Linked DNA regions of Oryctolagus cuniculus. The protein of the gene in region 2 interacts with the protein of the main gene of each other region in a biochemical or structural test. Links are inferred from orthologs where the notes say so. Each region holds a gene or a part of one and is shown on either strand. Other genes may lie near its edges.

Evidence for each region. The genes of interacting proteins can lie anywhere in the genome.
Region 1: the proteins of NHERF2 (region 2) and CFTR form a complex in vitro, tested with the Homo sapiens proteins (4 studies listed by BioGRID and IntAct, with this or other methods). The link is inferred for Oryctolagus cuniculus from reciprocal best matches to the Homo sapiens genes NHERF2 and CFTR.

Annotation. Positions count from the first base shown.
Region 1 is NC_091434.1:153,239,340-153,242,562, forward strand, and holds the end of CFTR (cystic fibrosis transmembrane conductance regulator), read left to right. Parts: intron 1-133; coding exon of another isoform or gene 134-262; exon of another isoform or gene 263-573; intron 574-583; coding exon 584-784; 3' UTR 785-2,671; downstream 2,672-3,223. UniProt on the Homo sapiens protein: Epithelial ion channel that plays an important role in the regulation of epithelial ion and water transport and fluid homeostasis. Mediates the transport of chloride ions across the cell membrane.
Region 2 is NC_091450.1:33,196,629-33,201,010, forward strand, and holds the start of NHERF2 (Na(+)/H(+) exchange regulatory cofactor NHE-RF2), read right to left. Parts: upstream 2,876-4,382; 5' UTR 2,826-2,875; coding exon 2,613-2,825; intron 926-2,612; coding exon 725-925; intron 1-724.

The DNA of each region.
Region 1 (3,223 bases), on a different chromosome or scaffold from region 2:
TTATCTTACATCTGAGTTGCGGTTCTAATGTAGTAGTTGAGGGGCTTTGATTTCATTTTTCCAGTCATCATTTGGCTCTCAGGTTATTGCCTCTCTCAGTCATCTTCTCATTGTGTTTTCAAAACTGTCACAGGAGGAAGTTCTGAGGGTGATGTATCATGTCATTTCTCTTGGGATTTTGAGCCTACAGGTGGCAAAGGATAACAGGATGGTTATTATCATTATTATTACTGAGAGCTGGAAGAGACAAATTAGGGGGTAGACACACAACTTCTGTGCCTCCTGTGGGCAAGTTCAAGAAGTGATTGAAGTCCTCTCTCCTCTGGCCTTGGGTTTGCTCTACTTTAACGCAGGAAGGAAGCATAATAAAGTCAGGTACCTCCTGACCAATTTGGAATAATGAAGCTTCAGGTCCACTGTTGAAGAGATGCAGCTCTTTATGGTGTTGTGGACTCACACCATTTAAGGGAGCTCACATGAATCATTCCTCCTTGCAACTACCTCTGAGCCTGTGCCGGTTTCTGTCCCTACTCTGGCTTGACCTGTCTTCTGTGGGAGATCTCACTAATGGCCACTTCCCTAGGTCATAGAAGAGAACACAGTGCGGCAGTACGAATCCATCCAGAAATTGCTGAGTGAGAAGAGCCTCTTCCGGCAGGCCATCAGCTCCTCGGACAGGGCAAAGCTCTTCCCCCACAGGAACTCAAGCAAGCACAAGTCTCGGCCCCAGATCACTGCTCTGAAGGAGGAGGCAGAAGAAGAAGTGCAAGAAACAAGGCTCTAGAGAGCCAGTGCAAATGTTTGCATGGGACATTCCCTCATGGAGCTGGGGGAGAAACAGTTGCCTCTGCCTCAGAAAACAAGGAGAAATAATGTTTTGTTTTGTTTTGTTTTGTTTTTTAAGCAAACATTTTGGAACAAAGAGTTGAGGACATTCTTATGATCTGCATAGATGGCTTCCTGGCCATGGTCAAATCATGTGAGAGGTACTTCAAATCCTTGAAGATTAACCCCTGGGGTTTTTCTTTGCCCTTTGGTAGTAGTTGGAAAGGCAGCTATAAAATTCAGCCAGGTTAGATGTTCAGCTTACTGTTTAGTGAAAATTGTTCATTTGTCTTATTGAAGAACTGAAATCATGCTTCTTAGAGGAATGATTAAGTAATGGTAACTGGAAACTTGAGTGGTTCATATAAATTTATATCCCCCTTTCTCTCCTCTCTTCAAGATATTTAGAAACACAACTACAGTCATGCACTGCATGGTGATGTTTCTGTCAACAATGGACTATATCTACAATTGTGTAACACATAGCGTGGGTGTGCAGTAATAATCTAGGATGTTCATATAGCAACAAAATTATCTAATGACTTATTGCTCAAAATATGTCCCTGTCTTTAGGTGGCTCATGACGATACATTGTCCGCCAAGCATTCTGGCTCTCATTTCTAAGGAAGTGTTAGAATACTGTAAGAGTCAAAAAGCAGCACATCAATAAAAGCCCCGTTCCATTTAGCCTGGAAGTTAAGATGCAGGTGAAGATGGCTGCATCTCATATTGGACTTCAGTACTCAGCTCTGGTTCCCGAGTTTAGTTTCCTGTTAATGCAAACCCTGGGAGACAGAGGTGATGGCTCAAGTGATTGTGTTCCTGCCACCCACATGGGAGACCTGGATTGAGTTACAGGTTTCCAGTTTCAGCCCAGTCCAGTCTTAGCCACTGCAGGCATTTGGAGGAGTGTATAAGTGTCCCATTCAACATGTGGTTAGGAAAGAGAACTTCCGATTGTGCAGATTAGGGTTAGTACCATCCAGCTTTACCAAAAATCTAGCCAAGTCAGATAATCAGAATACACAGAGCAGCTCTCTTGATGCTGAAATTGACAGGACTTTCCCTTACCTCCAGGATGTAACAAGCTCATAAGACATAAGGACCAGAAGATGGCTGGAGAAGTGTGTTGTGCGAACTGTCACAGGGAAGCCCTTCTTCCCTGAGAAGCTCCCAGTAGAAAGTGCATGGGTAGATAGGCCATGGGTGCTATAGTGGACACAAGGAAACATGAGCATCTAGATCTAAATGGTGATGGTGGTGTGTTTTCAGGCTAACTATACATGCTTCATACTGTCTGCTCTGAAGGAGAGAGGGAATGGGAGACACCCCAAAGAAGAGCCAATCATGAATTAGTTTTATATGCTTTTTTATAATTCTGTGATGCAAATAAAATTTTCTCTAGGAAATATTTATTTTGATAATGTTTCAAACTCTTACATAACAATGCTGTGTTTTAAGAATGATCATATTATGAATTATATTTGTATGAAAGAATTTTATATTTGCAATGTTGACTTTTTATGCCTTTAGATATTTTTATGATATATTATGTCAAGTTTGGGTGAGAAGAACCTAGGGTAATATGGCCCAGGCCATGACTCACTTTTACTGTGTCAAGAGAAACATCAGGGCTGATGTTGCACACACCTATGTGGCTCTTGCCCAGAACTCAGGTTGTCTCTTAGATGTAGTTCTGAAGAAGATGGTACCATAAGTCCGACTGCTCCTACCAAGGACACACTGCCATTCCTACTTCAAGCTAACCCTGAAAAAGATCGCATTGTATTTATTACTGTAAGAAAATAACACATGTCAATAAATCCATACATTTGTGTGAAACTTAGCTGTTTCCAGATGTGTTCATTCATCCCACCACCTCAGTCTTTTACTCCAGTCTCTAGGCTTCATGGAACATAAAACAAAAATCTTTCTTTTGCACGTAGCCTTTTGATAATCTCAGATGAAATGAGACACAAATTTTAAAGTTATCCTTTTGAATTTGGTAAAACATACACAATAACATTTACCATTTTAAAATTCAGTTCGGTGGCATTTCATATATTCATGTTGCTGTGCAGCCATCAACATAATCCATTCATAGAACGTTTTTCATTTTGCAAAGCTGAAACTCCTTATGCATTAAACAGCAACTCCCCATTGCCTTCTACCCCCAATCCCTGGCAACTACTGTTCTAATTTTTGTCTCTACAAATTCAACTATTTTAAATACTTCATAGGAGTGGAATCCTGCAGTGTTTGTTCTTTTGTGATTATTCCACTCAGAATAATATTTTTAAAGGTTTGTCAGTGTTATAGCATGGATCAGAATTTTCTTCCTTTGTAAGGCTGGATAATAATCTCTGTGTGTATATATTACATTTTGCCATCCATTTAT
Region 2 (4,382 bases):
AGGCCAGGCCTTGCCCAGGACAAGGAGTCCCACCGGGAGCGCCAGCCCGCCCAGGACGGGCCCCCCGGGGCCCAGCTCACAGCGCAGCCAGCTGTGGTGGGAGAGGGTGGGAAAGGAAAAAGGTCCACGTGAAGGCCCCCGCCCACCCCACACGTTAGGCCCAATACCTCCACTGCCCCCAGGCCGGGGGTTCTCAAAGCGGAATCTGGGGAACCCCTAGGCGGAACCCCCCAAGGGATGTGGTCAACCAAAGAGGTAGGAGACGGCTCTTCCCCAGGGCTCACATGCTTGCCCCGCAGGGTTACTTCCAGGTCCCCACCCCTCCTGCGGCTGGGGGGTCTTTGCTGAAGACTGGGGGAAGGGTGGGCTCGCCCTAGAAGCTTCCTGAACCAGGCTGCGCACAGCAGCTTCTGGGGCCAGCTCTCTCCGAGGGCTTCACCCTACACTCAGACCAGACAGACAGACAGAGACGCAGACGCTGCTGAGGGGCCAGGCTCGCTCCTTCCCAGGGTCCGGTGACTCCGCCCACCGGGCAGGAAGGGCCTCGTCGCCCTGGGCCAGGCTAAGGGCAGGGACAGAGAGCGAGCCGGGAAGGGGGCCGAGCTGTCCTGTCTACCCCCAGTTAGGAACTCGGACTGAGAGAAGAGGGACCCAGAAGGCAGCCGGGGCGGGGTGAAGACTTGTCAAGAGGCCAGGGTGGCCGCACGGGCAGAGGCTGCCGTACCTTCTGGCCAGCGTCAGAGCTCAGGCTGCCTGCACGTGCCCAGTCCGGCTTTGGCTCCCAGGGGTCGTGGGCGGGCGGGAGCCCTCGCTGGGCCATGTCCTCGGTGCAGGTGAGCTGCCGCCGGCGCAGCTCCTCGTCCGTCTCCTTGTCCACTACCAGCAGCCGGGTCTCCCCTTCGACAGCCTTGATCCTCTGCACCACCTGGGGCAGGCAGGGACGGGGGCAGGTCAGCGGCCGGCAGCCCGGGCAGCACGTGGACGGTGGCACCACTCCGGGATGGCCTGGGCTGGCAGGCAGACAGGCAGCCAGGCTGCCAGGGGTGGGCGGCTGGCCCCGCCGGCTCCGCCCCCCGCCCCCGGCTCCCTGACACAGCCAGCCCTGAGCTGCTCTCAGCCCAGGGTGGAGGTGACCAAGACGGCACTGAATGAGCTTCAGGGGCTCGGTCTGCCCGTGCGTGTGCACACGCTCGTGTGTGCGCACCATCTGTTTCCAAGTCTGCCTTCCAGCCCAGGTTGGAGGCGGGAGGTGCTGTCGGGTGTTAGTTTGGCTGTGCATGTTCGCTTGCTTTCAACTTTCTCACGGGAATCTCAACCTGCCCTAGACACAGACCGTCTGCCTGCAGACCACAGACCCACTCCTGCTGGGCCTGCGGACAGCTGAGAGCTGGGTTCCCGCTCAGGCCCCCGCACACGGTCGGGTAAGGAGGACAGCGGGGAGAGGGGCAGGTCTGCCCGTGGCACAGGTGCGGCGTTCCAGGCGCTGTGTGTCTGGGAGCACACAGGGTGCCAGCGTGTGCCAGCAGGGAGAGGGCAGTGCCCACTATGGCCCTCGGCCTGTGGAAGAGCGGAGCAGAAGGCTCCCACCTGCTGCCCAGCTCCCCAGATGCTGTCAAGCAACAGGGGGAGCGAGCCAGGCCCGTCCTCGCCCGGCCCTGCTCCCCGACTTGTGACCCAAACTGAAGCTCCAAGCCTCAGTTTCCATATTTGTAAAGCAGAGTCCCGGCCGCACCTCCTGGGGCTGGGGCTGGGTGTGAAGTTCTCAGACAAGTGCCCAGGGGCCCGGAACAGCAGGTGCAGCTGGAGCGAGGATGGCCATGGCTGTCACACAGAGGCGGGGTGCCAGCTCTGCCAGCCCTGCCTCCCCCACCTGTGGCCCTGACCCCCACTGCACTTCAGCACACAGCACCGCTCTACCCAGCTTCCAGTCTCGCTGGAAGACAGAGGCTAGGGGACCCCGGGAAGCCCGGCCAGTGGCTCAGCTGTCTGCTAACCCCTAGGCCCAGTACTGGCCACGTAGACAGGCCACAGGCTCAGCGGTGCTGTGAGGGACACGGAGCAGCCGGAGCAGCCGGTCCGGAGGGAGGCTGGACTCTGGCCAGGATCTGAGGTGAGTCCCTGGCCAGCGGGAGACGGACATCCCAGGGGTTACAGCCTGCAAGGGAAGAGGCCCTACCCTCTCCAGCTGCAGGAGCAGGGGGCAGTGGCCACAGCGCCCCGAGGAGGGTGAGGGTCGCAGCAGCTATGGAATGTGCCACCAGGGACTGCCAACTCGCACCGGATCCAGGCACCCCGGCTGCAGACACACTGGCCGGTCTACACCGCCCAGACGCGCAGGGGCCTGGCTGCTGGCACCCACACGGGCAGGACCCCGGAGGCCTTGCGCGGTCACACAGTCCCACAGGCTCAGGAAGCACCCGGGTTCACCGACACACAGGCTGGAGCCAGGCGGGGGGAGGGGGCCGAGGGCCGGCTTGGAGCCGCAGTGCGGCCCCTCCCTGCCAGAACGCCTTCCCCCGCGCTGCGGTGCGGGGCTGAGCGTCGCGGGGGAGGTGCGGGGCCCGCCACCCGCAGGCAGCGCCCAGCCGGCCGGGGCGCAGCGCGGCACCCACCTGGTGGTGCGTCTCGCCTTCCACGTTGACGCCGTTCACCTCGACCAGGCGGTCCCCCGCGCGCAGCGCGGCCGCCTCGGCGGGGGAGCCGGGCTCCACGCGCCGGATGAACTGCCCACGGCGGCCCTTCTCGCCATGCAGGTGGAAGCCGTAGCCCTGCTCGCCACGCACCAGGCGGCACAGGCGCGGCCGCAACGGCTCCGGCGCGGCCATGGCGCCCGCTGACCACCGGCCGGCCGCGGGCTGGCCACGGCGCTACGGGGCCCGCAGGCCGGGGCGCGGGGGCGGCGCGGGGGACGGGCGGCCGCCTCGGCGTTGCGCTCGCTCGGCTCCAGTCGCCTCGGGCTCGGGCTCGGGCTCCGGCTCGGGCTCCGGCTCGGGCTGGGGCACCGCCCCCGCGCCCGCCCCTTCCCCGCCCCCGCCGCCCGGCCGCCCCCGCCCCGGGTCCACGACGCGCTGGCCTGGCCCTGCCTCCCGGCCCCAGCTGCCCGAGGGGCTCTGGAGGGGAGGCTTCAGGGCCGGGGAACCCCTGTGTCTGGCAGCACGTTGGTGCCAGCGCTTCTGGCTTCCTGTGCAGGGCCTAGAGCCGGCTCCTGAGCTGGGGGCCAGGTGGGAGACAGTGGCCCCAGGCAGAACCCCCAGGGAGGCCCCGGAGTGAGGCCCTGCCTGCCCTCCCTGGGCGGTCCTTTGCCCACCCGCACGGTTCACCTGCTCCCCAGCCACTGCCCTCACCCCCGGGACCCTCCCGCAGCCAGGGCTGCCCTGCACAGAGCCCCACGACCTGCCTGGAGGCCCCTGGAGGCCGTAGTGACAGGGTGGGCTTTGTGTGCCCGTGGGCTCCCTAGAGGTCGGCCCTCCATTCTCGCACTTGGCTGAGGCCTACCCCAGGCCCCGGCAGACCCTGGAGTCCCAGGCTGCAGGGTCGGTCGGGGGCTGGCCTCCTGCCCCGAGACTTTGGCCTCTGTACTCTGTGGTCAGCACCGGCACACCTGAGCCGAGGTCTCTGGCACCTGCCCCCTGCCTCTGCCACGCCTCCCCTGCCCTGCGGCTGACAACCGCCAGCAGCACTTTGCCTGGCCAGGCCTCTCCAGGTGCAGTTTTACTGGCACAGAGGGAAGCACCCCTCCCCCAGGCCCAGGGCTGTGCGGCCCAAGCCTGCAGCCTTCACGGCTGAGGCCTGAGGCGGCCTGGCCTGCCCCGCCCCAGCCCAGCAGGGACCCCTGCCCATGCCTGCCCCAGGGGTGGGGCGCAGCAGTCCAGACAGTTCCCAGGTGGGCCCCAGTCCTCACCCCTTGCTCTCCCGTCTCCAGTTCTCTTGGCCTGGGCTCTCCAGCCCCCACCCACACCGTGGCCCCCTGGGTGCCCACCTCCAGGAGCTCGTGGCATCGTGGGTGCCCCCACCCTCACCTCTGCAGGTCTTGAGGGTCGGTGCCTTGGGCTGACCACCCGCCTGTCCAGCTGCAGCTGGCACCCTGGACCCTGCGCCCACTGTGTGCCCCCACCCCGCAGCGCCCAGTACCTGCCAGGCTGTAGCTTTGTGGCCACATTGTTTGAGGGGTGAGGAAGTGTTAGGTGGGAAGTTAGAAATGAGCCTGGGTGTGTGTTAGAGCCCTGCCCCAGGGGACGCTCCCCGGGCAATCCGCCCGCCGCCCAGCAGTAACCCTCAGGCCTTCCTCCAAGGCAGGCGCCCTAGGGGAACCTCCCGAGGGCTCCCCAAACCTGGAGAGAAGGGGGAGGGGGTAGAGAGAGAGGCGGGGGCGAGGGAAAACT